3 linked regions of the Elephas maximus indicus genome follow. The protein of the gene in region 2 purifies or fractionates together with the protein of the main gene of each other region. This does not show direct contact. Links are inferred from orthologs where the notes say so. Each region holds a gene or a part of one and is shown on either strand. Other genes may lie near its edges.

Region 1 (6,306 bases), on a different chromosome or scaffold from region 2:
GGGCTTAGGAAAGAGGCCCGAGGTGGATGGGCAGGCCTTCAAATCCAATTTGTACCCAAATTGGCTGTTAGGATGTACAAAGCCCCATCCAGGGACTTTCAACTTGCACAATACTCTGTCCAAGAACTCCCTCCTTCCCCCCCCCACCCCATTTCAGCCAGTAGCAGTTCTAAAAGGAAGCCATTGCTGAGACAAACGTGGGCCCCTGAGTAAACACTGCATCTTTTGTTGAGCAAGCCTACCCCCATATATATATATATTTATATATATCACCCTATCTCCATATAAAATGCAATTAAAATTATTTGGAGGAATTCAAACCACTTCCCCAAAAGTTGCAAATGAATTTTGTCATTAGGGATAACAGTTCCTCATACAATTATCCAAGACTATATACTGCTTATTCCTACACCAATACCCTACTTGAGAGACTTGTATCCATGCAATCCTTAAAATAATATACTGCATTCTTAATTTGCATGAAAAACATTTTCCCAGTCCATATAAGCTCCTGGCATGCGAAATCAGATTATTACAGCTCTCATTAGCAGAACTCAGTTTTTGCTATCTGCAAGTAAACAGAAGAAAAACTTATTTTCACCTGCTAAAATTTTATGCAGGATCATAAAACAATGCACACTCAGCTTTGACCTAAGAAACACCTTAAAACATTAAAAATTCATCAGTCAGTGCGGGTGTTGCATTCAAGGAACGCTCCTCCAATTTGCTGCTGAGCTCGGATTTGAATAAAATGCCCAATGTTAACAAACAATACCCACGTTTGGCACTTTGTGTATTAAATTGATCAAACAGATTTTAGGAGGCACAATGCACAATTTGTACAGACCTGATTGAGTTAATATAATATCAGCAAATTTTACATCGAAATGATTCTGTTTCTTTTCTTTGTGTTTAAAACCAGCACAGATTACAAATTTTAATGATCTGAAAATGTTTGGTATACAAAATCATGCTTATTTCAGTATTAGCAAAAACACAAGAAATTTTTCAACACAAACACCCAGCTGTGTCTATTTTAAAAGCAGTTCAATGACAGCTTGCACTTATGAGCATGCAATCAGCTAATTTCGCTTTTTTTTTTCTTCTGTGTTAATCAACACTTTCCTTCCTGCATATCAGAGTACAAATAGTATAGTTACTCCACAGCAGTAAATGTTTACGTAACCTGTCCTTTCCCAAGAATCCGGTTACACCGAATCATTTCACGCTAGACCGACTACGAAAACGTACCGGGCCGTCCACCTCAGAGGGAGCCCTGTGTGCCATTATAAGTGATGGTGAGCAGGGGGGCTCTGGGGGGAGACTTGGGGAGGAGTAGATGGAGGAATGGAGGGAGAGGGACAGGAATGGAGGGAGGGAGAAGGGGTGGGGGAAATGAGGGAGGAAAGGGGGAGGAGTGAGGTGGGAGGAAAGAGAGTTGAGCAAAAGTAGGAAGAACAGGCCTGAGGAGCTGAGAAGAGTGGGAGGAGGAGAGTTGAGCAGGGAGAGGTAGGCCCATACATCTCTCCAGCCCTTTAGCTCACGGGGCTCTAGGAGAAATCCTGAACTTGGGATCAATGTTTGGGGCCATGTCACTATCAACATTGATTGCCAGAATCCTTGAATTGTTCCATACGTAAATACAGTTTAAGTTAAAGAAATGTGTAGACATTTAAAACATACATAAACACAGTGGAAGGTTATTTGAAGGTAGTCCAATATTCAGAGCTCCTTTATGGCATTCCTAACACATACATATTTAAAAATCACTAGCCATTTGTAATTGTCTGTTATTCCTTCTGGGGTCAACTCTCTTAGAATTTCATGGTGTGGGGGTCGGGAGAGTGGAATAACCCCCTATTAACCTGAATATTCATCAATTGCATTCCTAGTTCAATTAGAATTGAACTTTAATTTCAACCATCACGCATAAACACCACTCTTTTTTCCTCATTTTTCTTAAATGTCTTAACTGCCATTTAATTTAACGGAGGGTTTATTCTCAAAGTGAAGAAACGCTTACATTTATGACGACTATTTACCTTACAAAGGAGGGAAAAGGTGTTCATTTATGCTTCACCTCCCTCTTCTCTTGGGCTACATCCTCCATAAAATGTGGTGTTTCGTGTTCATGTGGGATGAACAGCCTTTGATCAGTGTGCTCCGCACCAGATTCCAATCCCTGGGAAATGCAGGGCCTTAGCCCTGCCCCTGGCCACGGGATCCTTTTAAAGCCCCCGAATCGCAATCTCCCCAGTCACTTCAGCCTTCAACCAAACCCTCCCAGCCCCAAAGCCCAGGAAGCTGGGATCCTGGGACCCACGTTCCCATGGCTCCTAGGAGCCTCCCAGCAGCACCGGGAGTGGGAAGAGACTGGTTTCTGGATGCGGTTATTTCAGGATTGAGGCCCGCGCAAAATAAAAGCATTTGAGAAACGGGAAGAAAGAAAGAGGGAGTGGAAAATAGGAAGGCTTTAAAAACAAAACAAAAAAGGAAACAGACGCCCACCCCTATATTCCCTCCTATGTCAACAAGCAAAAAGAAAACATTTCCTGGGTAATCGCTCGCGGCTACTCGCTTCCAATTCGGATTAGAAGCGGAGGAGAAGCTGGAGCAGCGAGGAGAAAAGGACACCGAGCCACCCCGCGCGTGAGCGACGGTCTGGAGCAGGAGAGAAAGAAAGGGAAGGAAGAGACACACAGAGCATGTGTTACCTGGTTTATTTCGAGACTGTTTGGTTTTGTTTTCTTTCTGGGCACCCCTCATTTCCGAAGGCCATCAGAGGTGCCCACTACTGAGCCGCCCCCGCCCGCCGCCGCCGCGCCCGGAGCCCCGGGCCCTGCTTCCCCGCGGCGCCCGAGCCCGAGCTCGCCGCCGCCCGGGCCGCGGGAACCGAGTAAGTAACCCCCGCTTGGCCCCGCGCTCGCCTGCCCACTTCCTCCTCCTCCTCCCCGGCCCGCCGCTCCCAAACCTCTCCCGACCCTCCTCCCCCGAGGTGAAGGGCCCCCGCCCCCACGCCAGGGCTGGGCCCGCCCTCCCCCGCCACCCACGGCCTCGCTCGAGCGTCACCTACAAGGGGCACAATTGTCCTACGGGCCCGGAGATGCCAGCCCCGGGCCAGCGGGGCAGACTCCGGAGAGGGGTGCCTCCCCTCTTCCTGCTCCATTTCCTGCCCTCTCCTTGCATCCTCTCCCCTTCCTCCCACTGTCCATTCCCTCGCCCACGCCCCCCGGCTTTTAAAAAATAAAACTGGATACAAACTTTAATCAATAAGGACAAATATTGACGCTCCAAGGAAAAGGAACCAATACAGTGAGGAGGCCGGACATGTGAGAGATTTGCCCTAAGAGGGGAATTTCGGCTGAACAGCGCCGGCGGGGTGCGGGGCCGCAGGGCGCTCGGGCAAGGGCCGCGGCGCGGCGTGCTCCCGCCGCCGTATCCCTGCGCGGCTCGGTGAGGCCGCGAGGTCCCAGGCCCGCCGAGAGGGGGAGCCGAGCGCCCGAGGGGGCGGGAGCCGGCGGGCGGGGCGGGGGGGCGGGCCCGCCGATTGGTCGACAGCGAGACAGACGCTCCCGCACGCCGCCGGCTCTGATTGGCCCAGCGGTAGGAAAGGTTAAACCAAAAATTTTTTTACAGCCCTAGTGTGCGCCTGTAGCTCTGCAAATTAATTGTGGCTATAGCCGCCTCGATCGCTGTCTCCCCAGCCTCGCGGCGGCCGCTCCGGGACGCGCCCGCCCGCAGCCCGGCTCTCCCCCCCTTTGGGCTGCTGCTGCTGCTGCTGCTGCTGCTGCTGCTGTGACTGCTGCTGCGAGAGGAGGAGGAGGAGGAGGAGGAGGAGGAAGCAGCAGAGGGGGGGAGAGCGGGGGGTGGGGGGGAGACCATGAAGTAGAGTTGGGAGCGAGGGATCTTCACCCCCGGGGCGGTGGTTGTTTCTTTTTTCTCTTTCTTTCTTTTTTTCTCCCCCCCCCCTTTTTTTTTCTAATTCCTGAGGGGTGGTTGCTGCTTTTGCTACATGACTTGCCAGCGCCCGAGCCTGCGGTCCAACTGCGCTGCTGCCGGAGCGCTCAGTGCCGCCGCCGCCGCCCGCGCCGCCCGCGCCCCGCTCGGCACCCACCGGTCACCGCCGCCCGACGCGCCGCCGCTGCCCCGCTCCCGCGCCGCCGCCGCCGCCGTTTCCCCCCGACGACTGGGTGATGCTGGACATGGGAGATAGGAAAGAGGTGAAAATGATCCCCAAGTCTTCGTTCAGCATCAACAGCCTGGTGCCCGAGGCGGTCCAGAACGACAACCACCACGCCAGCCACGGCCACCACAACAGCCACCACCCCCCGCACCACCACCACCACCACCACCACCACCACCACCCGCCGCCGCCCGCCCCGCAACCGCCGCCGCCGCCGCCGCAGCAGCAGCCGCCGCCGCCCCCGGCGCCGCAGCCCCCCCAGGCGCGGGGCGCCCCGGCCGCCGCCGCCGACGACGACAAGGGCCCTCAGCAGCTGCTGCTCCCGCCGCCGCCGCCGCCGCCGCCCCCGCCGGCCGCCGCCCTGGACGGAGCCAAAGCGGACGGGCTGGGCGGCAAGGGCGAGCCGGGCGGCGGGCCCGGGGAGCTGGCGCCCGTCGGGCCGGACGAGAAGGAGAAGGGCGCCGGCGGCGGGGGGGAGGAGAAGAAGGGGGCGGGCGAGGGCGGCAAGGACGGGGAGGGGGGCAAGGAGGGCGAGAAGAAGAACGGCAAGTACGAGAAGCCGCCGTTCAGCTACAACGCGCTCATCATGATGGCCATCCGGCAGAGCCCCGAGAAGCGGCTGACGCTCAACGGCATCTACGAGTTCATCATGAAGAACTTCCCCTACTATCGCGAGAACAAGCAGGGCTGGCAGAACTCCATCCGCCACAACCTGTCCCTCAACAAGTGCTTCGTCAAGGTGCCGCGCCACTACGACGACCCGGGCAAGGGCAACTACTGGATGCTGGACCCGTCGAGCGACGACGTGTTCATCGGCGGCACGACGGGCAAGCTGCGGCGCCGCTCCACCACGTCGCGGGCCAAGCTGGCCTTCAAGCGCGGGGCGCGCCTCACCTCCACCGGCCTCACCTTCATGGACCGCGCCGGCTCCCTCTACTGGCCCATGTCGCCCTTCCTGTCCCTGCACCACCCCCGCGCCAGCAGCACTTTGAGTTACAATGGCACCACGTCGGCCTATCCCAGCCACCCCATGCCCTACAGCTCCGTGTTGACTCAGAACTCGCTGGGCAACAACCACTCCTTCTCCACGGCCAACGGCCTGAGCGTGGACCGGCTGGTCAACGGGGAGATCCCGTACGCCACGCACCACCTGACGGCCGCCGCGCTCGCCGCCTCGGTGCCCTGCGGCCTGTCGGTGCCCTGCTCCGGGACCTACTCCCTCAACCCCTGCTCGGTCAACCTGCTTGCGGGCCAGACCAGTTACTTTTTCCCCCACGTCCCGCACCCGTCAATGACTTCGCAGAGCAGCACATCCATGAGCGCCCGGGCCGCGTCCTCCTCCACGTCGCCGCAGGCCCCCTCGACCCTGCCCTGTGAGTCTTTAAGACCCTCTTTGCCAAGTTTCACGACGGGACTGTCTGGAGGACTGTCTGATTATTTCACACATCAAAATCAGGGGTCTTCTTCCAACCCTTTAATACATTAACATCCCTGGGACCAGACTGTAAGTGAACGTTTTACACACATTTGCATTGTAAATGATAATTAAAAAATAAGTCCAGGTATTTTTTATTAAGCCCGCCCCACCCCCACCCCCACCCCATTTCTGTACGTTTGTTCAGTCTTTAGGGTTGTTTATTATTCTAACAAGGTGTGGAGTGTCAGCGAGGTGCAATGTGGGGAGAATACATTGTAGAATATAATAAGGTTTGGAAGTCAAAATTACAGTAGAATGTGTATCTAAATAGTGACTGCTTTGCCATTTCATTCAAACCTGACAAGTCTATCTCGAAGCCGCCAGATTTCCATGTGTGCAGTATTATAAGTTATCATGGATCTATATGGTGGATGCAGACCTTGAGAACAACCTAAATTATGGGGAGAGTTTTAAAAATGTTAAACTGTAATTTGTATTTAAGAAGCATTCGTAGTAAAGGTGCCCAAGAAATTATTTTGGCCATTTATTGTTTTGTCCTTTTCTTTAAAGAGCTGTTTTTTTTTTTTTTTTTTTTTTTACTTTTAGACCAAAGATTGGGTTCTAGAAAATGCACTCGGTATACTAAGTATTAAAAAAAAAATAAAACCAAACAAACAAACAAAAAAAAAAAAAAGGAAAGTTGTTT
Region 2 (7,540 bases):
AAATCAGAAAATTTACACCCAAGCCACTTAGCTTCATCTGTGTGCCTTTTCCATGTACCACAAAAAATAAAAACTGTCATGACAGTTATTTCGTAGCTCCAACCAGCTAAGACTTCATAAGAGTAAGAGGAGGAACTAACGTTTCTGTAAAGTCCACCATGGGCCAGATACTTTACAGTTTTCACTTATAAATCATTTCAAGGCAGGTATCCTTAGATGAGAAAACTAAAGCTGAGATGGATATAAAAGTGTGACTCCAATCTCCTGTCCTGCCCAAACCTATTTAGAAAGATGCCAAAGCAGAGAGCTTTCTCCTACACACTACCCCCTCCCCCACCCAGTCCCAATCAACGCCAATGATGGACACAGCTAAAAGCATCTAGCCTTCCACGGTGGACTTTGCCTCAGACAATCCAATTCCCTAGTATGACAAGCAGTTATTTCAACACTGGCTTTGCCTCCATGAACCCACACTCCAGGGCTAAGGCATCGATTGAATCAACGTTTTAGCTCAGCCTGTTGCAAAATAACTAAATGAAGTGCAAATATTGACGGTTCTCATGCAACTCCTAAATGCACGAAAAAGGACTCCCTGGAACAGCAGCAAACGGGCAAAAGGGAAACAATGGAAGCAGGAGGAGACAAGAGAAGAGGCGGCCTGGGAAGAGCCAGGAAAGGGGGAAACGTGAATGACAGGTCTTAACTTCGACTCCACACGCCACCGCCTGGACGCACGTACTAAGTACAGCAGCCGCCACCGGGCTGGGCGAGGGGCACCGGGACGTTGCAGATGGACTCCTCGACAACCACTCGCACGGCGCGGCCGGACACGCACCTGTGATACTGTGCCTGCAGGAACTGGAATTCCTCCTTGATCCGGTCCAATGACTCCGGGATCGTGAACTTGAAGGGCTGGCCTGCAGCCTGGTGCGGCGTCTGAGGGCGAGCATCGAGGGGGACGGAGAGATAGGGGTGCGGGCAGATAAAGCAGTCAGTAAGAACAAGGAGTGAGTGGGGCATAAAAACAACAATAATAATAAAGTTAAAAATGGCCCAAAACGAAAACCCGAACTGCACTTTACGACTCACTTTGGAGAGAGAAAAGAGGACACTTCCCTGGCCCCCAGCTTCTAAAGAGGCTCAGAGTCTCTTCCAGCCTTCGGGAAGGTTGGCGGTAAGCGCCCCCAGGTCACATGGCCGAGCAAGGGGGGCTCCCGGAGGCCGGGGCGGACCGGGTCAAATTGTCGTCGCCGTGCCTGGTCCCTCTTCCCCACAGGGGCGATAACGACCCCCGTAACCGCAGGAAAAAAACAACTCCCTTACGCTCCCCGTTCCCAGAGTCGTCGGGGCCACCTCCGGGGGCGCCGGAACGGGGGCCGCATTGACATGTAAATAAGCGAGACCAGAAACAAAGGGGGGCGCCCCCAACCGAACTCGGAGAAGGGGGGAGGATGTGGCTGCGGGAGAGAAACCCCAGCCTCCCTGGGCGCCCCCTCTGCCCAGTCTAGACAAGTGGAAGGAGGCCAAGAGTTTCAGCCCACTCCCCACGCTGAGGAGGCGGCCCGGGACCTCCCTAGCCTCAAATCCGTGGAGGGGTTCGCTAGGTTGTAACAACTACCCATTTCCCTATGGCAAAGGAACAGTGCCTCACGCACCCACAAACCTGCCCCAACGTCCCCCCCACCCACCGGGCCGCGCCTCACCGGGTGCCGGCTCTGCGGGAACATAGCTCTGGCGGCGGCCGCGGCTCTGTTCCCGGGCAACTGAATTCTCCGCTCAATTTCCAACTTTAATCCCGCCGAGAAAAATTAAGCCGAGAAGGCAGGCAGAAGCGGGACACGCAGGGGGCGGGGGGCGCCCTGGCCACGCAAGCAGGCGCGCTCGGCGGGGCGCACCGGCCACTCGGCGCCAGCGGCTGCTCCTGCTCCCGCCGGTGCGGGCTCCCGGGAGCGCTCAGGGCCACATCACGGGCCCCCTAGGCCCGGCAGCTCCAAGAACCTGCGCGGCGACGCTGGCGCCCGAAGAGTAGGCACAGGGCCCACGTTCCAACCCTCGGGCCTCGACTGCCGGGGCGGGGAGGTGGGGGCTCGGCGACTTCGGCCGCGCTCCCCTCGGCGATCCGAGCGCGCGGCGCCCGTCCTGGGCAAACAAATCCAGGCGTGTGGCTTTTCTTTGCTTTTCTCCTGGTCCGTCTCCTCTCTGGATTTTCCCCGCGGCGGCGGCGGCGGGCGAGGTGCAGGTGGCGCCCCGGCTTACCCCACACAAACAAACCCAGAGACTATCGTAGCCGACCACTGGCTACGCCGTTGGCCGGGCGCTTGCTAGCTGCCTAGAGGCGGCGTGGAACGACGCCGGGGGCGCGGTGGAGGCTCCGCGCCCTGCGCTCCGCAGCCTCAGCACAGCCCGGGGAGCGCGGGATGACGCCGAGGCGGGGAAAGTGCGGAGGGTGCGCCGGGAGGAGGCTCGGCACGCCCCGTGCGCCCGGCACTCGGTGTTCTCTGCGCTTGCACAAACCCTCCCGGCCCGACGGGGCTACTCCGCGGAGAGCAGCCCCGCAGCCGTCCGCTGCTCCTCGAGCCCCAGGCGCATCCGGGCGCCGCGCCCTGCTCGTAGTCGCTCCGCACGGCTGCTCCGGACCGTTCCTCCGAGCCCCTTCTTCGATCCTCTTTCTTTCCTTCTCTTCGCTTGCGCCTCCGCAAACGGCGCTCCGGCCGGCTGCAAAGTTCTCTCACGACCCCGGGGATGACATCAACGAGATAGCGGGGAGAAAAGCAAGAGTGCGCGCCGCTCGGCCTCCCTCTTCGGCGGGCAAACTCCGCGGGCGAGCCCGGAGTAGCCGCGGCGGCGGCAGTTGGCGGGGTTTGGTCGCCGCGGGGCGGCGGAGATCAGGAGTGGTGGCGCTGGTCCCGCTCGGTGGGGGTGGCGCAGTCGGCCGGCTCGGGGGCGCGGGGTACCCGACGCTGCTGCTCCTGCAGCCGCCGCCGCCGCCCGCGCCTCTCGCGCCGGTTACATTAACACGCGGTTTCACACTCCGGAGCTAACCAGCGCCGGCCCCGCCCAGCCCCGCGCGGGCGGGGGCGCGAGCGCGGAGCCGGCGGGGGACGCGGGCCCGAGCGAGGAGGGGCCGCGGAGAGACCAGCGTCAGCCAATCGCGCGCGCCGCGCCCAACGTGGGGTGCTGACGTCGAGACTTCCCGGAGCCTATGGCAGCGCAGCGCCGGACGGGCAGCCCGCGTCTCCCCTTCTCTGCCGCCCCACTCGCTTCCATCTCCGCCGTCTCTCCTGTCTCCCCCCACCCCCGCTCCTCCTCCGCCAGCCGCGTCCTCCCGGGCTTGGTGAGGAAGTGTTCCTGAAGGAGCCGCGGGACTCTGGAGCCAGCCAATAGGAAGCGGCGAGACGCGGAGATTGGCACTGAGGATGGGAAGGTCGGTGGGAAGGAGAGCCGCGAGGCCGGGCTGTCAATCAAAGTAACGTGGGGCCAGCGAGGGAGCGCGCGAGCGCGCGCGAGCGGGAGGGACCGGCGAGCGTGCAGTCGCGGAAGCTGGGGGCTCCACTTAGCAAAAATCCTGCCACTTGTTCACTTTTTCCTTCAATGAAAATCCTCAGATCTCAGTAACTCAGAGACTAACTGCGTAGCTTCTTATGAGGGGGAAGAGGGGAACTCTTTGATATTTCAAGCCAAACACGTCTTTCGGTGCTGGCCCCTTGTTTGATGCCATTCTTTTGAAAGTGAAAGGTCACATTCAAATATTTTTGCGGTTTGTTTGTTTTTTGTATTTTTTTCCGGAAAGCTGCCTTTTCACGGATGCGCGAGGAAGGGTGAACTGTGCAGTTGGGGGAAAATGCATAATGGGCAAAGCTTTGACTGGCGTAGGTACACCAGCCGCATGATGCCCACTCGGCTTTGCACCCAAAGTTGTAGAATTTGATTCTTATTGGAGGATTTCAAATACTTTGCAAAAAGGTTCACCTGCCTTCGTTTGGCGGGAAGGATCCCCAAGGTGCCGCCAGGGTAAGGCACGCGTGTCCCAGGCGTAGATGCGATGCTCTGCCCGGGGCGCGAAATCTCGGTTCCTTGCCTTAAAAGTCCAGATTTCGCTATGTGTGTGTGTTGGGGGGGGTGGGGGCGGCGAGAGTTTTAGGAGCCTTGCAGCAACATGACCACGAGTCTGTTTCCAATTCCTGGGAACAAAGGGAGACAATGGAATAAACCAACACTGAGACCTGAAAAACCTGTCCCGCCCACCCCACCCCCATAGTTTGGATGGTACCCGGGCTGAGCTGTATAAGGAGCTAAATGGAAAGAGCTGAATAAATGACATGGCTAAAATTCTTAGGAGATGAAACTTGAGTTAAAAAGGGATTTTCAGATTTTTTTTTTCCTAGCCTTTTTTTAAATTGTACTTTAAAGATTTACAGAACAAATGGATTTTGAGATTTTTAAATAAATAGAGCATGTTGTATAATTAATATTAAGAGTCTCCAGTTTTTCTCTATTTCTCTAAATACACCACACGGCAGAAAACCTTCAATGTTGTCACGTTTCCACTTTTAACGGACAATTCAGATAAGCTATTTCCACATGATCCATGAGTGAATAATGCTGTTTTATCCAAGTAATAATGACTGCTTTCATGAGAAACACCCATCTTTGACAAGCATTCATCTTATGTTAGAACCTAACAACCTAACAAATTTGGGGTATTAATAACCCCAAGTTCCCTTTTTTTTTTTTTTTTTTTACTTTTAAGAGACTTGTGGGAAGGCACATACCTAAACACAAATAGATTTTATTCAAAAATATACAGAGACTTTTTTTCTTGAAATAGCCAATCATTTTAGATAATACATTTCACTGGTTCGTTTGTTTTAAAATACTGATACTGATTTAGCCATAATTGCATCAGTCCTAAATACCAATTGTAAATGAAAAAATAAAAGTGATTTTAGGCAGCCTGCATAGGCCATAGCTTAAACAAGTTCAGCAGTGTAGCTTTGCAGCACTCTTTTTAAGTGGGGTGAGGGAGAAGGTTATATTATTCTTTAGCTAACAGTTAACATGGAGTATGAAAGAGAAGGGAACACTGCCTCTCCTTTAATGGTTAAATTTGGTGACGAGAAGAGCAGACTTGCTCCACAGACAGAACTTTTTAAAATCATGGGATCCGTGGGCAGTGAAGCTTTGTCCTGTGGCAACCTGTGTTCCTTGAAATCATCTCCTAATGGTGGTGCCATATCCGCCAGTGTCCGGTCAGCTCATCTCGTAATCAGCTCCAGGACTGGATGGAAGGTGCTTGCGTGCCACGAAAATGCCTGTAGGCGCTGGGACAACTGTGGTAGCTGACACATCTCCCTGGTACCCAGTTTTACCTACCTGAACTTGCTGACATCCCAGTAATTAAGCATACAGAAAGAAATTAAAAGTGTATTTTGGGACCGGAGCAAGAAGTATTGCTCCTTCTCGTCTCTCGCCACCACACACCCCTCAGAATCAGTTCTGACATGTTGTCCTTAAATGTTTTCTATCATAGCTATTCACTCACTGTTTGCCGTGGGTAAAAATTGTGATTTCTCTTTTGACTAGTGCTTTCTTACCAGTGGAGTTTAAAACACCAGGCCTTCTGATTTACTTAAAACGGAGTTTTTGGAGAAAAGAAAGAACAATGATTTTAAAATTAGAAGACCTTCATTTGTAGCTTAAAAATGCTTGGTTTTCGGTGGCTTTCTCACACAGAGCATCCTCCTTGAGAGGGAGAAGGCTCTGCCTCTTTTCAAGGTCGTATTTTCTCCGTGATTGTCATGCTGAAATAATTATACTACAAAACTCTCATCAAACTGCATCACAAATGATGGTGTTTAAACAATCAAGTAGCTTTAATCTTATGTTTTAAATGAATAATATATGTGTAGATTGCCTACAGTCTGTTTAAAAGAAAATAGTTCTACTCATGAAATCTGTAATTTTGGTCTTCTGTCACTGGGTTGGGTTTTATTTAAAGTCTGTTAACCATAATCTTCTTTACCTTTAGCATATTCATATGTTGATGATGATTTTACATGAAATAATGTCAAGTATGCCACTTTCACAGGAAATTGTCTCTGAAAAAAACGGTATACTTTTTCATTTTCCGCAGAGGACACAGAAAGATTGTCAGATAGTTTATTTTATCATAGATGCGTATATGGGTATATTTCCATTCATTTGCTGCTGAGTATCAAACATTTCAACTCACCAGTAGCATAAACAAAAACACAGAGGTACAAATCCTTTGCCGTCCAGTAGATTCCGACTCATGGCAACCCCGTGTGTCACACAATAGAACTGCTCCATAGGGTTTCCTTAGCTGGAATTATTACAAAAGCAGATCTCCAGGCCTTTCTTCTGTGGTGCCACCAGGCGAGTTTGCACTTCCAGCCTTTGGGTTAGTAGTTGAGTGCAAACTGTTTTTGCCACCCAGGGACCTTATATCGATAGTATAAATAATAAGCAGTTATCAAAACTAGGTGATAGTCTAGGTGCTAAACACAACAGGAAAAATTGTGGGTATTTGATCATAGAAATTATTCATCTTCTTTTAAATTACTGTTTTATTTGAAATAAATAATGTGCCAGTCTTTGAAAAGCCACCTTTGTCATTATCTTTTTCCTTTTAGCTGAGTTATAGTTTTATATATTTGACCTTTTTTTTTTTTAAAACTGGAAGTTTCCTTTAAACCCAAGGATATAGGATCCATAAGCACTTTTCCCAGCATTGCTTTTTAACCTTTTTCTCCCCGCTTCTTTGCCAAAGAACAAGGGAGAGGAAAAGAAGGAGAGAAAGAAGGCAAAAAAGGAAAAAAAAAATCAGTAGCAGATCCATGAAGCAGTAAAACCTCAAATAAAATTACATCCAAAGAATCTCTTGTGGTTTCACACAATATGGTAAAATTAGAGATTGCAGGAAACCTAAACTAAATTGAACTGGGAGCATTTGAAGAGAAATGAGTAGACTTTATGAAAATGACACATTGACTGGCCAGTATGCTTTTTTTTATCAACAATTTCTTTGTTAAGACGCAGATCAAAGGAACCTGCATGTGTTTTCATTTTGTTCTAAGTAGAAAATTACATCCAGATGTTTAATAGGCATTGGGTTGGTTTTTCAGCATTGATTAGATATGTTGGTTCTGTTTGCTTACAAGTGTAGCCGGATCATTAGCTAATGCAAAGAAATGTTTGCTGTGAGTTGCTAATTAGGTCTTTTGGAAATGCTCCACGCTCAAGAACAATTTGTACAGTGGCCAGGAGAACTTGTGGGACTTGGGGGAAGTTTTTTTCCCTTCTCTGTGAGGGTGGGAAGAGGCAGACAGCCCCATCCCCTAATCTCCCTTTGCCCTACGGGGATTGCAGTGCGATCCCCTGAGGATTGGAGTGCAAATAAATTAGGACAAGAGACCACACAGGCACTTCCAAACACAGAGATAGATATGTGTGCTCTTTCTGAAACCACAGCCTGGCTGTCTTTGTGGGTGGGGGGCACGAACCTCTAACACTGAACATT
Region 3 (7,507 bases), on a different chromosome or scaffold from region 2:
GGCTGCGGTAGAGTGTTTTTACTTTGGATATTGGTAAGCTACCCGAGGCAGTAGCGCTGCAGACCCATTGCCATGGAGTCGGTTCTGACAGCGACCCTTTAGGACCGAGTACAATTGCCCCACAGGGTTTCCAAGGAGTGGCTGATGGATTCCAAACGCCTACCTTTTGATTAGGAGCCTGAGTTCTTAGCCACTGCGCCACCAGGTGCCACCCTTAACGTGCAGTGGACCATGAACTCAGTGGCACTTAGCCTTCCTCAGAAGGAGCTAGTGTGAGAGCCAGGGCTGAACTGACTTGCTCAACTGCAACTTTTAAAAAATGTATATCCTTGAAGAAACCACGAATTGATCAGAGAAGCCATATCTCGTGAGTTCTTGTAAATTCAGTGGAATTGAGTCTTCTAGCTCATGGAGGATTGGTAAGAGGTTTGATAAGATTTTTATAAAAAGTTGTTTTTAATAACAAAAGAGCCGATTACATTAAGAAAAAACCCCAGATTACATGTAATTCAAATTCTGCCTAGGGCCTCTTTACATATTCTGAAATAGTCAATTCTAAGACAAAAAAACCTGCACTCTTTTTTCTTTTATTATATTTTCTCAAATAAACTTCCCAAAAGGAAGACATTTTAAGAGCATCTTCAAACATCTTTGGCATCACATAAAAAAGAAATCTCGTGTAAAAAACGAAATGTCATCTTAACTTTTATAATACAAAGGCGCAATCCAATATGAACATATAAAATATATACAAATATAGTGCATGGTCAGCCACTTAAAACAGCTCTCTACAAAAAAGTAACCTTTTAGAAATTAAAAAACCGAAGTAACCACTTAATCATGAAAGTCGTCTTCTCTCCCAAGGTCCAAGTCCCTGTTTAGTGTCCGGAGGGAAAAAAGGTGGGTTGGGGAGTTTAGGGGGAGGGGTGGTCTGAGCCGCTCAGTTCCGCCACGGCCTCCACATGGAGTCGGCCGTGAGCGAGGGGCCGCTGGAAGGCGACACTGCATTGGGGCCCACGGAGGTCCCGCTGTTGCTCGTGTAGACGGGGATGACCGGGCCGCTGTGAGCAAAGGCCCCGTTGGGGATGAGGAAAGCAAACTGGCCGTCAGGAGCCGGCACAACCTGGAAGCCGCCGAATACCTTGGCCGCCTCGCCGGCCGGGCTTCCCAGCTTGCAGGGAGCGCCGCCGGGAGGGGGCGCCGCACCCCCGGGGATGGGCACTAGCGGCGGCGGCGCGAATGGCGCGTGCTGGGGGCCCCCGGGGCCTGGCGGGGGCGGCGGCGGCGCCTGCAAGGCGGGGTGCGGCTGCCCGGGGTAGGTCATGGCGTTGATCTGGGTCATGCAGTTGGCCAGGTGGCCGAGCAGCCGGGTGCGCACCTCGGTGTTAACGCCCTCGCACGTGGACAGGAAGCGGGTCACCTCGTTCATGCACTCACTGAAGCCGGCGCGGTACTTCCCCAATACGCTCGGGTCTGTGCTTAGCGCGGCTGCGGGTCAGAAGGAGACAGGCGGGTCACCGAACGGCCCCAGCCCCGGAGCCACCTCCTCCCGCCCTGGGAGGTCCCCGCGGCGCGCCTCCCTGACCGCGGGCCCGCGGAACTGCCTCTGGCTGGGGGTGGATTTAGAAAAACCAGTCACCTCGCCACACAGGCGAGGCGATTAAAGCAGAGTCTCTCTCTCCACTCCCTTTTGCTCCATTTAAACGCACCGCAGTCCCAGATCTGCCCCCTCCCTCGCGCGCGTGGAGTGACCTTGGACAATGCGCCCCTCCGTCACCCGAGCCTCATTTCCCCATCTGTAAATTGGGGAAGGGAGGGTGCTAAACCAGAAGGCTCCCAGACTCCGTGCAGCTCAAAACCGCTGCGGTCCTAAATCCTCCCGCCCCCACCAGCTTCCCCTACACCCGAGCCGCCCGCCACCCTCACGGCTGTAACCTCTCTACCTCCCTCCCTTTTCCGAACAGTAACAACTTGGGAGTTGTGGCTATAAATAAGCCCCAGACCGTGGGAACGCTAGCCTGAGCCAAGGCAGTAAAATGTAGCTGAATGCCTCTCACAACCGCGGGCGGAAGTCTGGAAGAAATCACCGCGGGACCAGAGGGACGCCTGCAGAGGGGACGCGGCAAGCCGCCCTCACCCGTCATCTGCGCCCGCTGCAGGTTCCGGAGGTGCTTCACTGTCATTTCCAGGATGTCCGCCTTCTCGAGCTTGGAATGCCGCGAACTCTGCACAGAGGAGGCGAGGGGAGGAAAGTGAGACCCCTGCCAGCGGCCTCGGAGGCTGGAGTCCCACCCACTGCCACCGCGCCAATATCCCCGACCCTGCTCTCCCGCCTCGGAGAACGCAGCGTTGGCGGAGAAGATCCCGCCGGCAAGCGGGTTTCATTCTCAGCCGCTGAGAAATAGTATATGTTTTTTAATTAAAAAAAAAAGAAATAAAAGCAGCATTTCCTCACTTACGTCTTTCTTAAGAGCATCCAAAATGAGTGTTTTCAGCTGGCTCAGACTTTCATTTATTCTTGCTCTTCGTCTTTTCTCCATGATAGGCTTTGATGACTGCAAAAAAATAAAAAACAAAACCTGAGTTCCCAAGGGAACTGCCTTTTCACCCCGAAATTTTAAGGGAGAAGGGTCCCCTCATCAACCCATTTCTTGGGGCTCCGGAGAGATACGGGTACTGGTCTTACCTTTCTGTGCTCAGATGCTGTCTTTGGTTTATCCGGTGTCGTGTTGACACTGGCTGGGGTGGCAGCCACCGGGGACGAGGAATTTTTCTCCATTATATCAGCTGGCATTTTCGTTTTTGTTTTTTTTAAATCCCTAGAGAATTATATATTTTGACTCCTTCACATAAAATTCTTTGTTTATGTCTCTTTTATTTGAGACTTTCACAAAACTACTGAACAAATGCTGAGGGTTTATTTTAATATTTTATGGCTACTTGGTGAGCAGTAGAGTTATTCCAGGACCAAGGAGAGAGGTAAAGGGGGAATTCCGCTGTTATCAGCACCAGCTCCGGATCCTGTGTGATCCCACTCAGCCCTGGCGGCCTCTATATATATCTGGGACTGCACGCGAACGGCTCGTGTGAAACTTCCCAAACTTTCTTTCCCACAGTAACTTTCAGCCAATGGGAGGAGGAGACACGCGGCACCGCTCGTGGACCGCGCCCCCCCATTGGCCGCGAGGCGCAAGGCCTGGCGACCAATGGCGCGCGCCTGAGCCCGGGGCACCAGAGGCTACAACGTCAATCAAAAGGATTTTAACCCTTTGGTACTCTCGCCGCCAAGCTTTGCATTAAACATTTTTCCGCACTGGCTTTGGTCTAGTCTATTTCTTTTGGTGCTAGGGTCTTTGCTCTATTATTTCTCTTTTCTATGTTTAATAGAGCTTCTTCCACTGTATAAGAAGCTTATTTAAAAAGTATTTTTTGAAAAGCAGAGATAAAAATTACTAGCAGCAGTTAAAAGGGGGAACGCGTGTACGGGTGTGAATTACTGAAACATCTAAGGGATTTCCCGCTCAGACTTCTCTATACATTCGGGGGGGGAGGTGAAAGCCAATCCAGTGTGAAGCCGGCATTTGCATGCAGAAAAAAGAAAAAATGCCTTCCACCTTACACAAGTTTTTTCCGAACAAGGCAGTTCTTTAATGCCCCCCCATCCCGTCCCCAATTATTCTCCTGGGGTTGGGCCCTCGAACCCCATGCTTTCCTACGAAACAATCAGAATAAATTTCCAACTGGGCAGAAAGGAAATGGAATTTCAAATGAAAGATGAACAAGGGGGGGGGGGTTGATGGCAGAGACTCACGCGCCTCCTCGCCACCCTTTCCCTTCCCACCCGCTGGCTCTCGGTTCTGCAGCAAATAGAGGTGGCAGACCCGGCTGCAGCGCCTCTCTCCTTCCCACCCCGCGGGCGGCTGGGGCAGTCCTTGGCTCCCGGCGCGCGCGGGCCCTTTAAGAGTTGCACCAGCCGAGCTGCAGTTTGACATCAGCCGGCCGGCGAGGGCGCGCCTGGAGCCGGAGCACGTGCCAGGATGTTTTATTGCCGCCGCGGCTGCGGCCGAGCCGGGAGGATGTGTGTGTGCGTGCGTACGTGTGTGTGTGTGTGTGTGTGCGCGCGCGCGCGCCCCGGGGGCAGGGAGGCGGGGGGCGGCGGGGGGCGGCGGCGGGCGGCCGAGCGCGGGGGCTGGTTCCTGGTCCCTGGGAGAAGCCAAGAAGGTAAATAGCAGCTGCTGTGCTCGAGCCTGGGAAAACCCCGCCCCCTGTGCCTGGCCCGGGCTCATTGGCGCGCGCTGCGTGTGGGGTGTGTGTGTGTGTGTGTGTGTGTCCGGGGGCCCCCTCCTCCAGCCCCCGCCGGGCCTGGAATCCGAGGGGGCGGCGGGCTGGGAGCTGAGCCCCGGCGCTTGTTCCCCCACCCCCTTCCCGGCCAAGGTCAGCCCTTCCGGACGGGGAGCGCACGCCCCGTCACGGAGAGGGGGAATTATCCAGCCCCCCCGTCCACCCTTCACCCCAGTTTCGGGCTTGGGGTTTTAACCCGGCCGAAAGCCGCACTCGCAACAGCCCGCGGGAGGGGCGGGGGCCTCCCGCTTTGCTCCTCGCCCGGCCCTGCCCCCTCCGCCCGCGGGGCCCCCGGCGCCCGCCGCGGTCACGGGATGCCTGACCGCACTTAGGAAGCGGCCGGGTCAGCTTCTTGCCTCCCCTCGGCGGCTGCGGTTAAAGCGGCTTCGCGCCGTCCGCCCCTTCCCCCGGCCCAGGGCCGCCGGGCGGGCGGCTCCCCCTCGCTGCGCCCGGGAGGCCGCCGGCGGGCGGCCGGGAGGAGGCGGGCGGCGCGGGCGGCTGCGTGCTGCCGGCTGGCTGGGCCGCGCGCCGGGAGGAGCCGCCGCCGCCGCCGCCGGGTGCCACGTGGCGGGCGCCGGGCCGGGAGCGCCAGGGCTCTGGCGGCGGCCTCCCTGGGGGATTTGCCGCGCGGGGCGGGCGGCGCGCACTGCCCCGGCCGAGCGGCCGGCAGCCACCCCTGCGTCTCTCCCGCCCGTCTGCCCGGGTCGCCGGGCCCCGCGCCCCCGGCCCGGTCCGCACTTCCCGGCGCCCGGGCAGTCGGCGCGCGGCTCCCTCGGCTGCGGGGGAGCCGAGCGTCCTGTTGGAAGTCGCCCCCCGCCCTCCCAGCCCTTCCCCCAGCCCCGAGGCCGCCGGAGGCCTGGCATGCATTGCTCAGACACTTCATTCCTTCCTTCCTCCGAGCTCCCCACTGAGATAATGTTGTGAATGGTTTCACCAGATCTCCTCCCGGGTGAGATTCGGCGGTTCCTGAGTCTGGGTGACCTTGGGCAAGCCCTTCTCTTTCGTAGTGGAGGGAGCACACGCTCTGTGCCACACACCGTGTTAAACCCTGGGATTATACGGTGGCAACCCGCAAGGAGTTTACAGTCAACTTCGGAAACAGACCGACCCTGGTTTTCTGAGTGGGGACTCGAGCTTTTGTTCATTGGAGAGACCAAGCCTGTTGCCATGGAGTCAATTCCTACTTATGGCGACCTCATGTGTTAGAGAGTAGAACTGTGTTCCATAGGATTTTCTTGCAGATTACCAGGCCTGTCTTCTGTGGTGCTGCTAGGTAGATTCAGACCACCAATCTTTAGGTTATTAGTGGACAACAAACCATTTGCACCACTCAGGGACTTCTTGGGAGACCAGGAGAACCTAAAAGAAGCACCAAACCACACCTGTATGAATAACAATATTGTTGCTGTATTTTGGGGGGATACAGGCACGAATACGAGTTATTGACAGCTCTTGCCCTCAGGAAACCCACAGCCTGGCAGACGTAGTCGTGTACACACATATATATACGCGTATATATATAAACGCATATAAAGAGCCCTCGTGGCACAAAGGGTTAAACATTTTGCACAGAGAAAGGTTGGTGGTTGGAACCCAGCCAGTGGCTTCTCAGGAGAAAGACTTGGTGATCCGCTTCCATAAAGATCCCAGCCCAAAAAAGCCTGTGGGACAGTTCTACTCTGTCACATGGGGAGGTTGCTCTGAGTGGAAGTTGACTCGAGGGCACCTAGCAACAACGTATAAACGTATATTCATGCATGCAGCTGATATCTATTGATTTTCCAGGGTGTGCATCTGGTAGATCCGAGGTTCAAGAGAGTTATATGCTGAAATAGAGGTAAAATACTATGAAGATTCAGGAGAATTAAATTGGTCATAACTTTGGATATCTTTGGAGCCCTGATTGGGACGGTAGTTAAGAGCTCAGCTACTAACCAAAAGGTCAGCAATTCGAATCCACCAGCTGCTCCTTGGACACCCAATGGGGCAGTTCTCCTCTGTCCTATAGGGTCACTATGAGAATCAACTCGAAGACAGTGGGTTTCTTTTTTTTTTTTGGCTGTCTTGGAAAACTTCCTGTAGGAGATGGCCTTGCTTTACACCTTGGAAAACAGGTAGATGTGGGAAATGGATAGGATAGGAAAATAAGTAGTGGTGAGTCATAGGGTTGGGGAGGATGGAAGTGCCAATGGCAATAAGGCCCAGACCCTGGATTTGAGGTCTTTATTCACGGAACAAGGACCTGGTGGCGCAGTGGTTAAGCTCTGAGCTGCTAACCAAAAGGCCTGCAGTTTTAACCTACCAGCTGCTCCACTAGAGAAAGATGTGGCAGTCTGCTTCCATGAAGATTCTGGTCTTGGAAACCCTATGGGGCAGTTCTACTCTCCTGTATGGTAGCTATGATTCGGAATCGACTTGATGGCAGTGGGTTTGGTTTGGTTTTTGGTATTCAGGGAATGTGGTCTGGAGCCCGGGCTGTATCATAGGCAGGAGTATAACAAGGGGCTGGAGGAGAAGGTTTGAGGCCATGTCTCAGGACACTTACTCCTCACTAAAAGACTTTGGACCTTATCTTTAAATGATGGAGAGCTGTCCTGAGCAGAGAAGGGGCATCAGGATTCTTGTTCAGAAGGATGGCTCCAGCAGAAGTGTGGAAAGCGGAGTGCAGGGTTTGGAGGCAGGAAGGCCGTTTAGGAGTTGCCAGCAGTTCCTAAGAGGCAGATGACTCTGATCCGGAAGCACCTGCCTAGAACCAGCTCACCTGGGCGTTGACTGCATTGCCCAGTGATCCGAGGTCCGCAGAAACCTGCCTTCCCTTTAACAGCAGGTTTCCAGTTCCCCTACAACCCCAGCGTATAAATAAGGAATCATTGTGGTTCTGACTGTATTTACCTTCCAGACCTCATTTCCACCTTCCAGGAGAGCCTTCAAGTCTGCAGCCAAGTCTTTACCTCATCACAGGCTTGGTTTACTCACTCTTGCCCCTTGGGCAACTCTCGGGGATTTTTTGTTTTTTCTTCACACGCTGCAGAGTGGGTTGTGCCCTATCATGTTCTGAAGAAATGATGAACAATGCCCCCTTTGTTGACCTGCATCCTGGGGCCATGGGGGTAGGACTTTTTCTTCCTGTTTTAAACAGATGGAAAAGTGGCAGTGAAAACTCTCT

What was found. The genes of interacting proteins can lie anywhere in the genome.
Region 1: the proteins of TLE1 (region 2) and FOXG1 purify together in Homo sapiens (affinity purification with western blotting; 3 studies listed by BioGRID and IntAct, with this or other methods). This does not show direct contact. The link is inferred for Elephas maximus indicus from reciprocal best matches to the Homo sapiens genes TLE1 and FOXG1.
Region 3: the proteins of TLE1 (region 2) and HES1 purify together in Homo sapiens (affinity purification with western blotting; 4 studies listed by BioGRID and IntAct, with this or other methods). This does not show direct contact. The link is inferred for Elephas maximus indicus from reciprocal best matches to the Homo sapiens genes TLE1 and HES1.

The regions. Positions count from the first base shown.
Region 1 is NC_064828.1:41,100,621-41,106,926, forward strand, and holds FOXG1 (forkhead box protein G1), read left to right. Parts: upstream 1-4,103; 5' UTR 4,104-4,193; coding exon 4,194-5,669; 3' UTR 5,670-5,762; downstream 5,763-6,306. UniProt on the Homo sapiens protein: Transcription repression factor which plays an important role in the establishment of the regional subdivision of the developing brain and in the development of the telencephalon.
Region 2 is NC_064827.1:98,615,937-98,623,476, forward strand, and holds the start of TLE1 (transducin-like enhancer protein 1), read right to left. Parts: upstream 3,089-7,540; 5' UTR 1,728-3,088; coding exon 1,704-1,727; intron 937-1,703; coding exon 836-936; intron 1-835. UniProt on the Homo sapiens protein: Transcriptional corepressor that binds to a number of transcription factors. Inhibits NF-kappa-B-regulated gene expression. Inhibits the transcriptional activation mediated by FOXA2, and by CTNNB1 and TCF family members in Wnt signaling.
Region 3 is NC_064819.1:20,827,628-20,835,134, forward strand, and holds HES1 (transcription factor HES-1), read right to left. Parts: upstream 3,045-7,507; 5' UTR 2,795-3,044; coding exon 2,687-2,794; intron 2,556-2,686; coding exon 2,460-2,555; intron 2,226-2,459; coding exon 2,138-2,225; intron 1,489-2,137; coding exon 941-1,488; 3' UTR 477-940; downstream 1-476. UniProt on the Homo sapiens protein: Transcriptional repressor of genes that require a bHLH protein for their transcription. May act as a negative regulator of myogenesis by inhibiting the functions of MYOD1 and ASH1.